Linked DNA regions of Oryctolagus cuniculus. The protein of the gene in region 1 interacts with the protein of each later gene in a pairwise test. Links are inferred from orthologs where the notes say so. Each region holds a gene or a part of one and is shown in the gene's direction. Other genes may lie near its edges.

Evidence for each region. The genes of interacting proteins can lie anywhere in the genome.
Region 2: the proteins of YAE1 (region 1) and LTO1 interact in binary tests that used the Homo sapiens proteins (3 or more experiments, as listed by UniProt). The link is inferred for Oryctolagus cuniculus from reciprocal best matches to the Homo sapiens genes YAE1 and LTO1.

Annotation. Positions count from the first base shown.
Region 1 is NC_091447.1:29,674,528-29,681,826, forward strand, and holds the start of YAE1 (protein YAE1 homolog), read left to right. Parts: upstream 1-3,042; 5' UTR 3,043-3,110; coding exon 3,111-3,239; intron 3,240-5,239; coding exon 5,240-5,361; intron 5,362-7,299. UniProt on the Homo sapiens protein: The complex LTO1:YAE1 functions as a target specific adapter that probably recruits apo-ABCE1 to the cytosolic iron-sulfur protein assembly (CIA) complex machinery. May be required for biogenesis of the large ribosomal subunit and initiation of translation.
Region 2 is NC_091432.1:3,226,416-3,233,705, forward strand, and holds the start of LTO1 (protein LTO1 homolog), read left to right. Parts: upstream 1-3,167; 5' UTR 3,168-3,250; coding exon 3,251-3,300; intron 3,301-3,830; coding exon 3,831-3,936; intron 3,937-4,874; coding exon 4,875-4,942; intron 4,943-7,290. UniProt on the Homo sapiens protein: The complex LTO1:YAE1 functions as a target specific adapter that probably recruits apo-ABCE1 to the cytosolic iron-sulfur protein assembly (CIA) complex machinery. May be required for biogenesis of the large ribosomal subunit and initiation of translation.

The DNA of each region.
Region 1 (7,299 bases):
AAATATGTTAAGAGATATACTAATATAGAAAAAAGTTTGCTTTCATGGAATGAAACTTCTTGAAATATCTTTTGATGAAGTATTGGAGTCTCTTTTGAATATCTATTCATAAACTAACTTGAACTTTGGAATTTGTTTTGTTTTGTTTTTAAGATTAATTTTTTGGGGCCGGCGCTGTGGCGCAGTGGGCTAAAGCCTTGGTCTGAAGCGCCGGCATCTCATATGGGCGCCGGTTCAAGTCCCCGCTGCTCCTCTTCTTATCCGGCTCTCTGCTATGGCCTGGGAAAGCAGTAGAAGATGGTCCAAGACTTGGGCCCCTGCACCCACGTGGGAGACTCAGAAGAAGCTCCTGGCTCCTGGCTTCGGATTGCCGCAGCTCCAGCTGGTGCAGCCATCTGGGGAGTGAGCCAGCGGATGGAAGACCTCTCTCTCTGTCCCTACCTCTCTCTGTAACTCTGCCTTTCAAACAAATAAAATAAATCTTAATTAAGATTAATTTATTTACTTGAAAGGCAGATTTACAGTGAGAGAAGGAGAGACAGAAAAAGAGGTCTACCATCCGCTGGTTCGCTCCCCAAATAGCTGCAATGGCTATGGCTGGGCCAGGCTAAAGCCAGGAGCTTCATCCAGGTCTCCCATGTGGGTGCAGGGGCCCAAGTACTTGGGCCATCTTCTACTGCTTTCCTAGGCTCTTTAGCAGAGAGCTGGATCAGAAGTGGAACAGCTGGGACTCAAATTGGTGACCACAGAGGATGCCGGTTTGGAAGGTAATAGCTTAATCCACAATGCCACAATGTCACAATGCTGGTCCCTGGCCTTTTGATTCTGTTTGCTTGCTTTTTCTTTTTTTAACCATCTTTGTCAGGTTACAGTAAGCCTGGTGTCATGAAATGATTCAGGAATTTACTATCATTTTCTCTGCTCTAAAACAGAAAAATATTAAATTATCTATCATATTTTAAATATTAAAAAAGACTCAGCTGTGAAACTGTTAAGTCTCCATCCTGTTCTTTATAGTAGAGACTGAATCCCAGTTTTTGTATAGTAATTTGTTTCTTCATGTTTTCTACTTCCTGGGTCAACTGTGTTAAGAAGTTATTCATTTATTTTAGATTTTCAAATGTATTTCTCCTGAGTTTCAGTGGGTAGTTTATAATACTTTTTTTTTCTACATCAGTGGTTGCCTCTTCTTTTACTCCTATCTTATACTTTTTCTCCTTTAAAATCAAAACCACATCAAGATTATCTATTTTATTGATTTTTTTCCAAGAATCAATTTTTAGATTTATTTTTGCAAGTTTTTAAGATTTTTTTATTTTGGGGGGCCAGCACTGTGGCGCAGTGGGTTAACGCCCTGGCCTGAAGCGCCGGCATCCCATGTGGGTGCCGGTTTAAGACCCGGCTGCTCCACTTCCAATCCAGCTCTCTGCTATGGCCTGGGAAAGCAGTAGAAGATGGCCCAAGTGCTTGGGCCCCTGTTCCTTCGTGGGAGACCCGGAAGAAGCTACTAGCTCCTGGCTTCGGATCAGCGCAGCTCTGGCTGTTGCAGCCAATTGAGGAGTGAACCAGCGGATGTAAGACTCTCTCTCTCTCTCTCTCTCTCTCTCTCTCTCTCTCTCTCTGCCTCTCCTCCCTCTGTGTAACTCTGACTTTCAAATAAATAAATCTTTTCAAAAAAAGATTTTCTATTTTTTAATTTTATTTGAGAGATAGACAAAGAGGGGGAGCTCCTAGGCACTGCTTCACTTCCCAAAATACCAGTGATAATCTAGGCTGGAGCTGGACAAAGTTGGGAGCTGGGAAGGCAATCAAAGTCTCCCATGTGAGCAGCAGGAACCCACTTGCGCTATCACCACTGCTTCCCAGGGTCTGCATTAGCAGGAAGCTGGAGTCAGGAGTCAGAGCTGCACATCAAACTCAGGCACTCCAAACAAAGTGAGAGGCTGGCTTCTAATGAAGGCACTCCAATGCAGGAGGCTAGCATCTCACGCACTAGGCTAAATGCGCTCAGCTAGTCAACGTTATTCAATTGTTTTTATTGATTCCTTTATTGCCATTTTGTTTCTAATTAACAAATACATTTTTAAGAGTTTACTTAATATATGCCTTTTACAGGTTATATATTTGTGAGATGCAAAATTCTAAAATTTAAATCTGTAGCCTGCACCATCCACTCGCCCCCCCACACACACACACACTCAGGATTCCCTTTACTTTACTTGTTTTAAATTTGTTTCATAACATTTATTATTTATAATCTTCAAACTACCTAAGTTACTCATATTTGTTTGCTGTGTGTGCTCTGCAAATTCTACAGGAATAAAATCCAAAGGGCTAGGAACTTTTATCTGTTTTATTCACTAATGTATCCAGACACACAGGTATTCAAGAAAAGGTAAGACAAACAAACCACGACTGTCACAGGACTCATTTACCCACACAAACAAAGGCAAAACGGGATGCCACTGGGGTGCTTTCACCTGCAGTGTCAGAACCTGCTGGTGCTGGGGCAGACAAGTTCCCGCCCTCGCCAAGATCACAGTTTGCATTTAGCGCACGTGAGCAAGAGTGGAAGGCAGCGAAGGATACTGAGAATCAAGGAAGATGTATCGATGGCAAAGGCAACCTTTCTATTTCCTATTGATCTCAAATGGGCCGCAGTAGTTCACTCTCTGACTCTTTTGCTCTTTGCTCCAAGCTCCTAACAATCAATCCGTGTCAGGTTGTCACGTCCCCTGAACACGCTGAGATTCTGAGACAGTCTTTGGGCAGTACTGGCTCAACCGCCTTGAGTGATTTTACAAAAGGAGCCTCTCCCACACCCAGAACACTGCAGTCTACGACAGGAATGCGGGGTCTGATCAAGGTCACGCCCCAGCCGAGGAAGGAATCAAGGTGCACACGGACACACTGTGTTAACTGACTTAGTCCCAAAGTCCGCGAGTCCAAAAGCTCTGGACGTCAGGCTGGACAGCCCGCAACCACGACGGATCGCCTCGGCGCACGCGCACCCGCCCTGAGCGCCAGGAGCGCAGTCTTCGTCCCGCCCCTCACACCGGAAGGAGTCGCGGGTGTTTCCTGTTGCCTGCGGCTCCGTAGCCATCTCGGTGATGTCGTGGGTTCGGGCTACCCCCTCGGTCCAGAGCCCGGCCGAGGAGGGGGACGTGTTTGATGAGGAAGCTGACGAGTCGCTCCTGGTACAGCGGGAATGGCGGAGTCACATGCAGAAACGAGTGAAAGTAAAGCCGGGGGAGGGGGGTGGGAAGGGTGCGGGGACCCCGGGGGGTGCCGGGCTGTGGTGGAGCGGAGCCCCGAGTTTGTGAAGAAGCCGGGCCCACCGTGGTCCCAGTGGTCCCAGTCTGGCTAGCGCCGCCGTCCTTACCCTTTGCCACGCGGTGCGCCCCGCGTCCCGCCAGGATTTCCCAGTGGGTTGCTTGGAAGCGGGTGAACCCCAGAGACGCGTTGTTTGAGCGCTTGCGGGAGGGCGTTGGAGAAGCGGGACGCCCACCAAAACACATGTTGTCCACACTTGGAAGCGATTGCTGTCTGATGATGATCACAGGGAAGTGGGTGGGGGAGAGACATACCAATACAGTGATTACTTGACTGCTGATTATGGCTGTCAAAGGACGCGCATTCAGGCTTCCACGGGCAGCTTGAGTGGGTGGGGAGCCCAGAGTTAGGAGTGTTTTAACCAAGATACACGAAAAAAGTGAACTTTACAATGTTAAAGGCAGTAGGAGAGGGGTCGGGGCTGTGGCATAGCGGGTAAAGCCACCTCCTGCAGTGCCCGAATCCCATATGGGAGTTGATTCGAGTCCCGGCTGCTCCACTTCTGAGCAGCTCTCTGCCGTGGCCTGGGAAAGCAGTAGAAGATGTCCCAGGTCCTTGGGCCCCTGCACCCACGTGGGAGACCCAGAAAAAGCTCCTGGCTTCGGATCAGCTCAGCTCCAGCAGTTGCAGCCATTTGGGAATGAACCAGCTGATGGAAGATCTCTCTCTGCCCCTGCATCTCTGTAATTTTGCGTTTCAAACAAACAAGTAAATATTAAAAAAAAAAAAAAAGGCAGTAGGAGAAAGCTAAGATGGAATACTGATGACCAAGTAAGGGAATATTAAAACCAATTTTCTTCTTATTTGTTGGATGTGAATTATTCATGTCTAATTTTATTTGTTGAGTCTAAGCGTAATTTCCAGATGGAGTACTCAGAGCTTAGTACTGGGTGAAGACTAAATGGTGGGGGTTGCTTCCACTTACTATATTTGCCAGCCATTAAATTGCTCCTAAAGCTGTATTGGGGATCTGCCCCAAATTAATGTTTCAGCAAAACAATATTTGCTTAGTTCAGCAACCACGTTGTCAGTTACAAAAAGTTTTATGTGACGCTAAGGCTGGACCAGTCAATACTGCCACATCTCTCTCTTTCTCTCTCTCTCTCAGAATTTATTTATTTACTTGAAAGACAAAGTTACAGTTACAGAGCAGAGAGAGAGAGGTCTCCCATCTGCTGGATCACTCCCCAAAAAGCCCCATCAGCTGGAGCTGGGCCAATCTGAAGCCAGGAGCCAGGAGCTTCCTCCCAGTGCAGGGTCCCAAGGTCTTGGGCCATCTTCTACTGCTTTCCCAGGCCATAGCAGAGAGCTGGATCGGAAGTGGAGCAGCGAGGACTCAAACCAGAGCCTGTATGGAATGCCAGCACTGCAGGCAGCCACTTTACCCCCTTTTCCACAGTGCTGGCCCCAATAATAAGCATCTTTTGAGTACTGTGACATACTTGGGACATGCAGAACAAAGTTTCTGTCCACAGAGAATTTACTTGGATTTCAGGATCAAGCAAAATTTCTAAAACCAGGCTTCTCACTTTCCTTCTAAAACAGTTTTGCCTTTCCTTACTTTGTTCTGTCTCCTCACCCACTCACACCTTTCCACTCAGTTGCCAGAGGGCCAGACATGTAAGTTTCCATGTTTCCTTTCTGTGAAGACATTGCTAAAACAGAGGTGTTAAAAACTGGGTGAGAACACACTTCAAAAGTGGGATAAGGAACAATAAACCGGTAATAAATTTTTATGAGGAACATAACCTGCATTGCTTGTGGGGCTATACCATATTATTTTCAAGAATGCAGTAAAAGCCAGTTTCATCAGTTTTCTAAATTGGGTCTGTGCCTTTCTAGAAAAGCCTACATATGGTTCACTTGGTATTAGTTACAACTGTAGTTGTTCATTGCTTATTTTTAGGAAGGCTATAGAGAAGGAATCGATGCTGGCAAAGCAGTTGCTCTTCAACAGGGCTTCAATCAAGGCTATAAAGAAGGTGCAGCAATCATTGTAAACTATGGAGAACTCAGAGGAACACTGAGGTAATTCAGAAATTTAAATGCTGAATCTTTAATATTACAGGATGATTTTTATGAATATTAAAAATAAACATTTAAAGTGCTTCTTTCTGCTGTTGAATACACAAGAGTGTGGAAAAACATAGAATGTTGCCTTCAAAGAGTAAAAATCATTATCAGCTCATCCATTTTAATATGTGAGCCAGCTGTTGTCCCTTTTTTGGGCATGGAAACAGTAAGAGGGTGTGTACTCTTTGCTACCAGAATTACTGCCAGTCTCTAATTACAAGATCTTCAGGCTTTAAATAAAACTTTTAGTACTTGCACATTTGGCAGAACCCAATATGACAGACCTCTAAACTAGAAGTAGATGGAAATTGTAGTGAGTAATAAAGGTAAAATGATTCCATGTATTGTAGTCCTTAACATTGAATACCTGTCGGGAAGCCAGGGCAGTAACAGCATATGGCAGAACCAAATGATCAGATGGAGCTAAGACCTGACAGGTCTGTCCTCCTTGATGCTTTAGACTGTTGTTTTTAACTTATTTATTTACTTAAAAGGCAGAGTTAAAGAGAGGGGGAGAGAGAGAGGGGGAGAGAGGTGGAGAGGTCTTCCATCTTCTCGTTCATCCCCACAGAAGACCACAACAGCCAGCACCTAGCCGGGCCGAGGCCAGGAGCTTCTTGCAGTCTCCCACATGTCTAGCAGGGGCCAAAGCACTTGGACCATCCTCCACTGCTTTTCCCAGGCCATTAGCCAGGGGCAGAATCAGAAATTGAGCAGCCAGGACTTGAACCGGCACCCATGCCCCTGTGGATTGCAGGCATTGCAGATGGCAGCCGTACCTGCTACACCACAATGCCAGCTCCTGCTTTATACCTTTCAAGCTGTCCTCTGGAGAGAAAGCTGCTTTAAAGAATCACTAATAATTTTAGAAGCTAAAAAATTAGTAAAACAAAGCAAAAAGTTGTGTTTGGCATTTTAGAAAAGTCAACTAGAACTAGAATTAATTTTAATTCATTAATTAAGTCACAAACTAGAATTAGTATACTATAGTAGGATATTGATCAAGTGTTCATCTTCACATCAAGTTAAATTAATCTTTTATAAGCTTAGCTTACTGCTGAATTTTTAAATATTTATTCATTTATATATTTTAAAGGCAGTGTGAAAGAGACAGAGATGTACCTACCATCTGCTGGTTCACTCCCCAAATGACTGCAACAAGCCTGGAGCCAGAAACCACATCCATGTCTCTCACATAGGTTTCCGGAGCTCAAGCTCCTGAGCTATCATCTACCACCTCCCAAACACGTTCACAGGGAACTGAATTGGAAGCAGAGTAGCCGGGACTGCAAATGGCACTACAACATGGGGTGTGGGCATCCTAGGCATTGGCCTAACCTGCTGTACCACAGTGCCAGCCCCACTGCTGAATTTTTTTTTTTTTTTTTTTGGACAGGCAGAGTGGACAGTGAGAGAGAGAGACAGAGAGAAAGGTCTTCCTTTGCCAGTGGTTCACCCTCCAATGGCCGCCGCGGCACCACAGTGATCCGATGGCAGGAGCCAGGTACTTCTCCTGGTCTCCCATGGGGTGCAGGGCCCAAGGACTTGGGCCATCCTCCACTGCACTCCAGGGCCACAGCAGAGAGTTGGCCTGGAAGAGGGGCAACCAGGACAGAATCCGGCACCCCGACCGGGACTAGAACCTGGTATGCCGGCACCGCAAGGTGGAGGATTAGCCTAGTGAGCCGCGGCGCCAGCCCCTGAATTTTTGTATATCAATCAATTCCATTTGTAAAACATTACTTTTCATAACAACCGCTATTTTATGACATGATTATCTGAACAATCTGAAATACTTAAAAAAAATTTGACCATAAAGTAAAAGTAAAGAAAATATTAAATCTAATAGGACTAGAAGAATTTTTACCTTTTTCAAGAAAATAGTTTATAATC
Region 2 (7,290 bases), on another chromosome or scaffold:
GGAGTGCTTCCTGGGGCGGCAGCCTTGGACAGGGCCACCCTCCCTCCCAGTCCCCAGAGGAGGGTCCTTCGGGCTTCGGGGTCCTAGGTGTTACCTGGCTGTGGCCGCGTGGCTCCAGCCTCTGCCTCTGCCGACACCTGGCCCTCTCCTCTCCCCCTAGGGACACTCGGTTTGGACTCAGGCCCACGCGGGTACCGCTGGTGATCCCGGCCCAAGTCCTCCCTGTCTGCGGAGGGCTCTGCCCGGGGAGGCGTGGTCCCGGGTTCCGGGCTTGGACTGGGACACAGGCCCTCGGGGAGCCCACGCAGGTCCATCTGGTGTCTCCCCAGGGGCTGGCCAGGCCACCCGTCCACCAGGGCCCCGCTGCTTCCGGGAGGCTGGGTCCTGACTGTAACAGGCCCAGGGTCCTCCCTGTGCTCACATCACGGGCTGCGGGGGCGGGGGAGGCTGGCAGGGCTGGGGTGGGGCAGCTTGAGACTGCGGGGGTCCCCCAGGGCAGCGGGTGGCCTGCCTGGAAGAGGCTGGCTGGCGGGCAGAGCAGCCCCAGGACCGACCCTGGGTCTTGTCTGTTACTGGTGCCCGGGGACTCTGGGCAGCTGTGGCCTGCTGGTGGGTGAGGGGCCGTGGCGGCGTGGGGTCCGGCTTGAGCTGTGGTCCCTGGGAACCCCGTGCTCCCGGGCGAGGCGTGGAATGTCTCCAAAGCCTGTGTTGCCAGTTGCCCTGCGGGGTGGGGGGTGAGGGGACCTCGGGCGGGGCCGCCACGATGCCTCCTGACGTGGCCGCGACGTGCCGTGGTGACCCGTGGGTGCAGGCAGGACCGCGGCAGAGCAGCACCCCAGGGCCCGGCCGTCACGCGTGGGGCCTCCCTGAACACGCGAGGAATGCGTCTCACGAACAAACCATGCATGGATGTCCACGTGTCTTTTGTACCAAAATAAAGTTCATTGTGAAATTCTCAAAGCCCCGCCCCCAGCCCAGGATCAGCCTGGGGGAAGTGGGGTTTCCCAGGGTGTCCCCCCCAGGCCCCTGACACCCACGAGAGGGAGGGGCGCTGAGCCCAGGCCGCGCAGTGGGCCTGGACACGGCGCACGGGCGCCCCCCGCTGGCGGGAGGCGGGAAGGCGTGCGCCAGGCCGGCAGCCGGGTGTCCCCGGCCCGGGTGGGCTCCATGTGCTGGCCGCCGTGGGGTCGCACAGGGCAAACGCAGCCGCCGCCGGCTCCGGCGGGCCCCCTGCGCGATCTCGTCTGCGGCACCCACCTGCGCGCTCGCAGACGGGAGGGGAAGGGCAGTGGGCGCCTTCAAAGCCCCTACCACGTGCCTGCAGCCTGGGGCGGGGGAGCCGTGGGAGGAGGGTGCTGTCCCGCCCCCAACCCGGTGCTCAGGTGTCAGTTACTCTCCTAACACTCGCCGGTGCGTTTATTTCCCGCACGGTCAGTGTCCATCCCTCTTCGTGGGCACCAGGATTCCGCCCATTTCACAGCCGGGAAAACTGAGGTGCGGGAGGACGCAGCTCACCAACGTTGCCTGGAGGAGGAAGCTGGCAGGGGGGCCGCCCGCCCCTGCTGCCCTGGAGACCCCAGCCTTGGGGACGGGTTAGCCCTGCAGCCCGCGGGTGGAAGGGAGGCGGCTCCCCTGCCCCGGGAGGAACAGAGCCGGGGGCCGTCTGTCCGAGGAGGTGGGGCTGTTGTGCTCCCCCCCCCCGCCCTCTGGGGGCGCTGAGGGTCAGGACCCCAGGGTGAGTCCTGCCTGGCCGGCCAGGGTGGGTCCTCGTCCAGCCACACGCGGGCCCTGGGCCTGCTCTGGAAAGAAATGTGGTCCCCTGGTCCCTCCCTGGACGGAGACGACCCCAACACGACGCTCAAACTCAGCCTGGGCCCGCAGTCCGGCCAGCAGCTCGGCTCTGGACCACAGGCCGCGGCCAGGCCGGAGCTCAGCCCTGGGGCACGGCCAAGGCCCCCCCCCCCCTGCGGCCAGCCCCTAGGGCACAGCAAAGCCCCCCCCACTGCGGCCAGGCCCTAGGGCACAGCAAAGCCTCCCCCCCCCCCCCGTGCGGCCAGCCCCTAGGGCACGGCCAAGCCCCCCCCCCACTGCGGCCAGCCCCTAGGGCACGGCCAAGCCCCCCCCCCCCCCACTGCGGCCAGGCCGGAGCTCAGCCCTAGGTCACGGCCAAGCCCCCCCCCCACTGCGGCCAGCCCCTAGGGCACGGCCAAGGCCCCCCCCCACTGAGACCAGCCCCTAGGGCACGGCCAAGCCCCCCCCCCCCACTGCGGCCAGGCCCTAGGGCACGGCAAAGGCCCCCAGCCTCCTACTGCGGCCAGGCCCTAGGGCACGGCCAAGGCCCCCCCCCACTGAGACCAGCCCCTAGGGCACGGCCAAGCCCCCCCCCCCCACTGCAGCCAGGCCCTAGGGCACGGCCAAGGCCCCCCCCCCCACTACTGCGGCCAGGCCGGAGCTCAGCCCTAGGTCACGGTCACAGCGCAAGGCCCGCCCGCCCGCCCGCCCGGGGGCCTCCCGAGCGCCCGAGGAGCCGGCTGGAGAACGCACTTCTTCTGGGCGCAGGGCCGCCCGCGGGTCCGGCTCGGACAGGTCCTGCCGAGAGGTCAGCGGGGGGGACTCTGCTCCTTGGGGCCTGGCCTGGCTTTTCCCGGGGGGCAGAGGCAGGCTCGCTCCACACTTCGAACAGGCCAAGGTCCCCCGAGGTGACCGCAGCCCCAGGGCGACCGGGGAGGGCGTGGCTGAGTGGGCGCAGCGGCTCAGACCTGGGGAGACCCCCGTCCCCGGGCCGTGCACCTGCGTGGGAGACCCGCACGGAGCTCCGGGCTCGGCCCGGCCGTCTCGCCGCCGGAGGGGAGGGTCTCGGAGCCCCCCGCCCCACAGGCCGCAGGCGGAGCGCCCTGAGGAGTAGGCGCTCGGGCCGCCTTTCCTGTCTCCTCCTTCCCGGGCCACTTTTTGGCGACTCGGTTTCATCTGCTTGGGTTTAAAAAAAAGAAATCCCACACGGGAGCCGCCGCAGCCACCGCCGCCGCGCGCGACCGAGCGGGCGGGACGCCGCGGACCGGAGCGGGCGGCGCAGGCCCACTGCGCACGCGCGCGCGCCATCTGGCCCTTCCCGCGCGCCGTCCTTACCCAGCCTGCCCCGCGCGGCCGCTGCCGGAAGTGGGCTCGCTGCCTCCGCGGGAGCGGCGCGCGCGTTCGTGTCCGCGGTCCCCGGGGCCGGCCGGCGGCGGGCGGGGGCGGCCCGGTCGGCGCCATGGCCGGGAGCGAGGACGTGTTCGATGCCATTGTGATGGCGGATGAGAGGTGCGTGCGGGGCCGGCTGCCGGCCCGCCTCCCCGCTCGGGGGCGGCCCCCGGCATCTGCTCGCCCCTCTCTCTGCGGGGACGGGCCGTGGCCATCTGGGGGCCGCAGACACCCGGGCCAGACGCCGCCGGCCCCCGTCTCCTCGCGGGGGTCCCCGGGGGGCGCCGGGGCGGGGGCGGGCGGAGCTGGGGGCCGCCCGCGGATGTCTTTGCTGACAGGCGGGCGGGGGGTCGCGGGACCACCTGTCGCCGGCATTTGTCCGGCGCGCCGGCTCGCCCTCGCCCTGTTTCACGGCTGAGCAGGCACAGCCGCCCCGGGGCTCCGGGGGCGCGGGGCGCAGGTGGGGGCGGCGCCGGGTCCCCGTGCGTGCGTTTGGCGCGGGCGGAGGTGGTGCGCGCCCCCGGGCCGCCCTGCGTTTCGGTGCTCGGCCACGTCGCCCACCCCTCACCGCGGCCGTGGGCGCTGGGGCGTTGCGCGTGGGCGTGGCCCTGCCCCTCGGGCTCGGGGGACCGACCGGCTTCTCCGCGCAGGTTTCACGGGCAGGGCTACCGGGAAGGCTTCGAGGACGGCAGCAGCCTGGGCGTGCGCGAGGGCAGGCGCCACGGCGCGGCGCAGGGAGCCAGGATCGGCGCCGAGGTGAGCGTGGGCCGTCCCCTCCCTCTGCCCCGCCGCGTGGGTTTCGGGGGCGCCCACGGCCTCGGCTTGAAAGGCGGGGCGACGGAGCTTCCCCACGTGCCTGCAGCAGCTGGAGCCGCGGGCCTGGAGCGCCGCCCGGTCTCCCGTCGGTGTCTCCATCCGGGTCTCCCGTCGGGTGGCTCCTTCCGGGTCTCCCACGCGGGTGGCTGCATCCGGGTCTCCCGTGCAGGTGGCTCCATCCGGGTCTCCCGCGCGGGTGGCCCCTCCCGGGTCTCCTGTCGGGTGGCTCCATCCGGGTCTCCCGTGCAGGTGGCTCCATCCGGGTCTCCCACGCGGGTGGCTCCATCCGGGTCTCCTGTCGGGTGGCTCCTCCCGGGTCTCCCGTGCAGGTGGCTCCATCCGGGTCTCCCGTGCAGGTGGCTCCATCCGGGTCTCCCGTCGGGTGGCTCCATCCGGGTCTCCCGCGCGGGTGGCCCCTCCCGGGTCTCCTGTCGGGTGGCTCCATCCGGGTCTCCCGTGCAGGTGGCTCCATCCGGGTCTTCCGTCGGGTGGCTGCATCCGGGTCTCCCGCGCGGGTGGGGCCCTCATCGGCGCCCCCGCCCGGGTCGCACCCGCAGGGAGCCGCTTGCAGCGTGGGTGCGGTGTCCCGAGTGGTGTCCCGAGCTCCCGCCCAGAGACGGGCGCCTGCGTCGGTGGAGAGGAGCCCTCCGCGGCCCACGCTGGCCCCCACGGAGCAGGCGGTTGCGCCCAGTATCGTCCGGAACTCGGGAGAAGCCGCCCTGGGTGCTCGGCCGTGGGCCACCCGCGGGGGCGGCCGGACACGCCAGGGCCTTGGGGCTGGGGCTGCGCTGGTGTCGGCCTGCTGACCGCGGCTCCCGGCCCCGCCCCGCTGACCGCGGCTCCCGGCCCCGCCCCGCTCACAGCTGTCCGCTCCACAGATCGGCTGCTATCGAGGCTTCGCCCTGGCGTGGAGGCACCTGCTGCGGGGCTGTGCGGCCGAGGACAGGTGAGGGCGCGGCCTGGCAGCCGCTGTGTGTCCGCCCGAGGGCGGCCAGGCCTGCGCGTCGGGCGTGTGCGAGGTGGGCGCCGGTGGCCGCGGGGGCCCCGTGCTGCCCATCTGCTCCTTGCCGGCACCGATACCAGGTGGCTCCTGGGTGCCGCCTTCTCGTGGGCCCGCCCCGACGTCCACTGCCGCCGCCGGGTGGTGGGCACTCGGAAATGGGGCTCCCGCACCGCTAGGTTTTGTTTACTTATTTATTTTAAATCCTTCCTTCCTTCCCTCCTTCCTTCCCTCCTTCCTTCCTTCTTCTTTCTTTCTTTCGATATATTCATTTTATTTGAGAGACAGAGTGATAGAGAGAGGGAAAGACAGAGTCTTCCGTTGGCTGGTTCACTCCCCAAGTGGCCGCAACGGCCAGGACTGGGCCAGGCCGACACCAGGAGCCGGGAGCTTCCTCCAGGTCTCCCACGTGGGTGCAGGGCCCAAGCACCCGGGCCGTCTTCCACTGCTTTCCTAGGCCACAGCAGGGAGCTGGATGGGAAGAGGAGCAGCCGGGACTTGAACCGGCGCCCATGTGGGATGCTGCGCCACAAAGCTGGCCCCGCCTCTAGATCTGTCAGTTTAGAGAGGTGGAGAGAGCCCCGTCCATTTGTTCCCGACTTGTCCACAGGAACCCAGCTGCGCGAGCCGTCCCTGCTGCCCCGGGAGCCGCGTTAGCACAGCTCTGCGGTCGGGGGCTGGCGGCGGGATCGGACCAGGCCCTCTGCTGCAGGCCAAACGCCCGCCCACGCCGCCCGCCGAGCCTGGCAGCGAGGCAGCGCACCGGGCGCGGTTCTGGGACGTGCTGGGTGGCCGCGTGGGCGGCGTCACAGCCTTCGGAAGCTGCCTCCCGTGGTCCCCGGCTCTGGGCTGCACTTCCTCCTTGCCCGCTGTGGCCTGGCCTGGCCGGCAGGGGCACCAGGAGGCAGGAAAGGCGACGTCCCGTCCATGTGACCCGTCCGTGTGACCGACCTCTTGGTGGACACATCCTGAGTTTCTGGGGTGGGCCGGCCCGTGTTCACGGTCAGCGCGAGGGGCTTGCCGCTGGGGAGAGGGGGTCCTGGCCCAGGTTCACCCTGGGGGACTCCCCCAGGGCTGGGAGTGCAGGGCGGGGCTGGGCCGTGTGGGCGGCTGTGTGCAGCCCTGCTGCCACTGGGTGGCAGTCCGCGCCAAGCTGGGCTCTGGGCTCCGTCCACAGGAGGAGGAGGGCCCTGCCTGCTGTCCCCGCTGTCCCAGCGGCAAGTCTGGCCGGGGCGGGGTGCTGCGTGTGTGTGTGCACACGTGAGGGCGTGTACGTGTGCATGTGTGTAAGAGTTCCCACAGCCAGGAGGCTGCCAGCCCTCACCCTGGCGGGGCTCCCGGGTCACCGGGTGCGTGGGGGCTGCTCAGGAGAGCCCCGTGGGCCCACTGTGCTGCGCCCACCCAGCCAGCAGTGCCAGGGCTCTGTTTCCTGAGGCCTTCCGGCACGGTGTGGCCTGTGGGTCAATGCGGTCTTTCTGTGGTGTCCTGGCGCCGCGTCCCGCTGCCGCGCAGGGAATCAGCAGGACGACGGCTCAGGCCCCGCGTGGGAGACCTGGGTGGAGCGCCGGGCTCTGCTGGTGTCTGGCCCAGGCTTGGCTGTCGCAGCCATTTGGGGGGAGTGAACCAGCAGCTGGAAGACCTCTCTCTCTCTCTCGCTCGCTCGCTCTCTCGCTCTCGCTGCCTTTCAGAAATCAGCAGGTTGATCTTTAAGGGGCGCGGTGCGGACAGGGGTCTCCTTTTAGTTTTTCCAAGTGACAGGAAAACACCTTCCGTGTTGTCGCGCGCTGTGAGCTGGCCAGGGGAGGCGGCGGCCTGGCCTAGTCGGTGGGCGCAGCCCTTCCCTCTGCCACGGAGCAGAGCCCAGGGGGCAGAGAGACAGAGCTTCCGTCCGCAGGTTCCCTCCCCAGATGGCCGCACCAGACAGGGCCGGGCTGGGCCGAGGCCAGGAGCCAGGAGCTTCTTCCGGGTCTCCAGACACTTGGGGCGTCTTCCTGTGCTTTCCCAGGCCATTAGCAGGCACTGGATGGGAAGTGGAGCAGCCGGGCCTTGAACTGGTACCCATCTGAGATGCCAGTGTCGCAGGCTGCGGCTTCACCCACTAGGCCACAGCGCCGGCCCCACGGTAGCTCTGTAGCTGGTCGGCCGTGGCAGCCGTTAGCTCGAGCCCGTGAGACCTGTCGCTGTGTTGCTGTTGGTCCGTCCTGGGGCTCAGCTCCTCCTGACACTGCCACGCGGGTGGCCCAGCAAGGGCTGGGGGCTGCTCCTCAGGGCCCCGGTCTCCAGTGCCCGTGGAA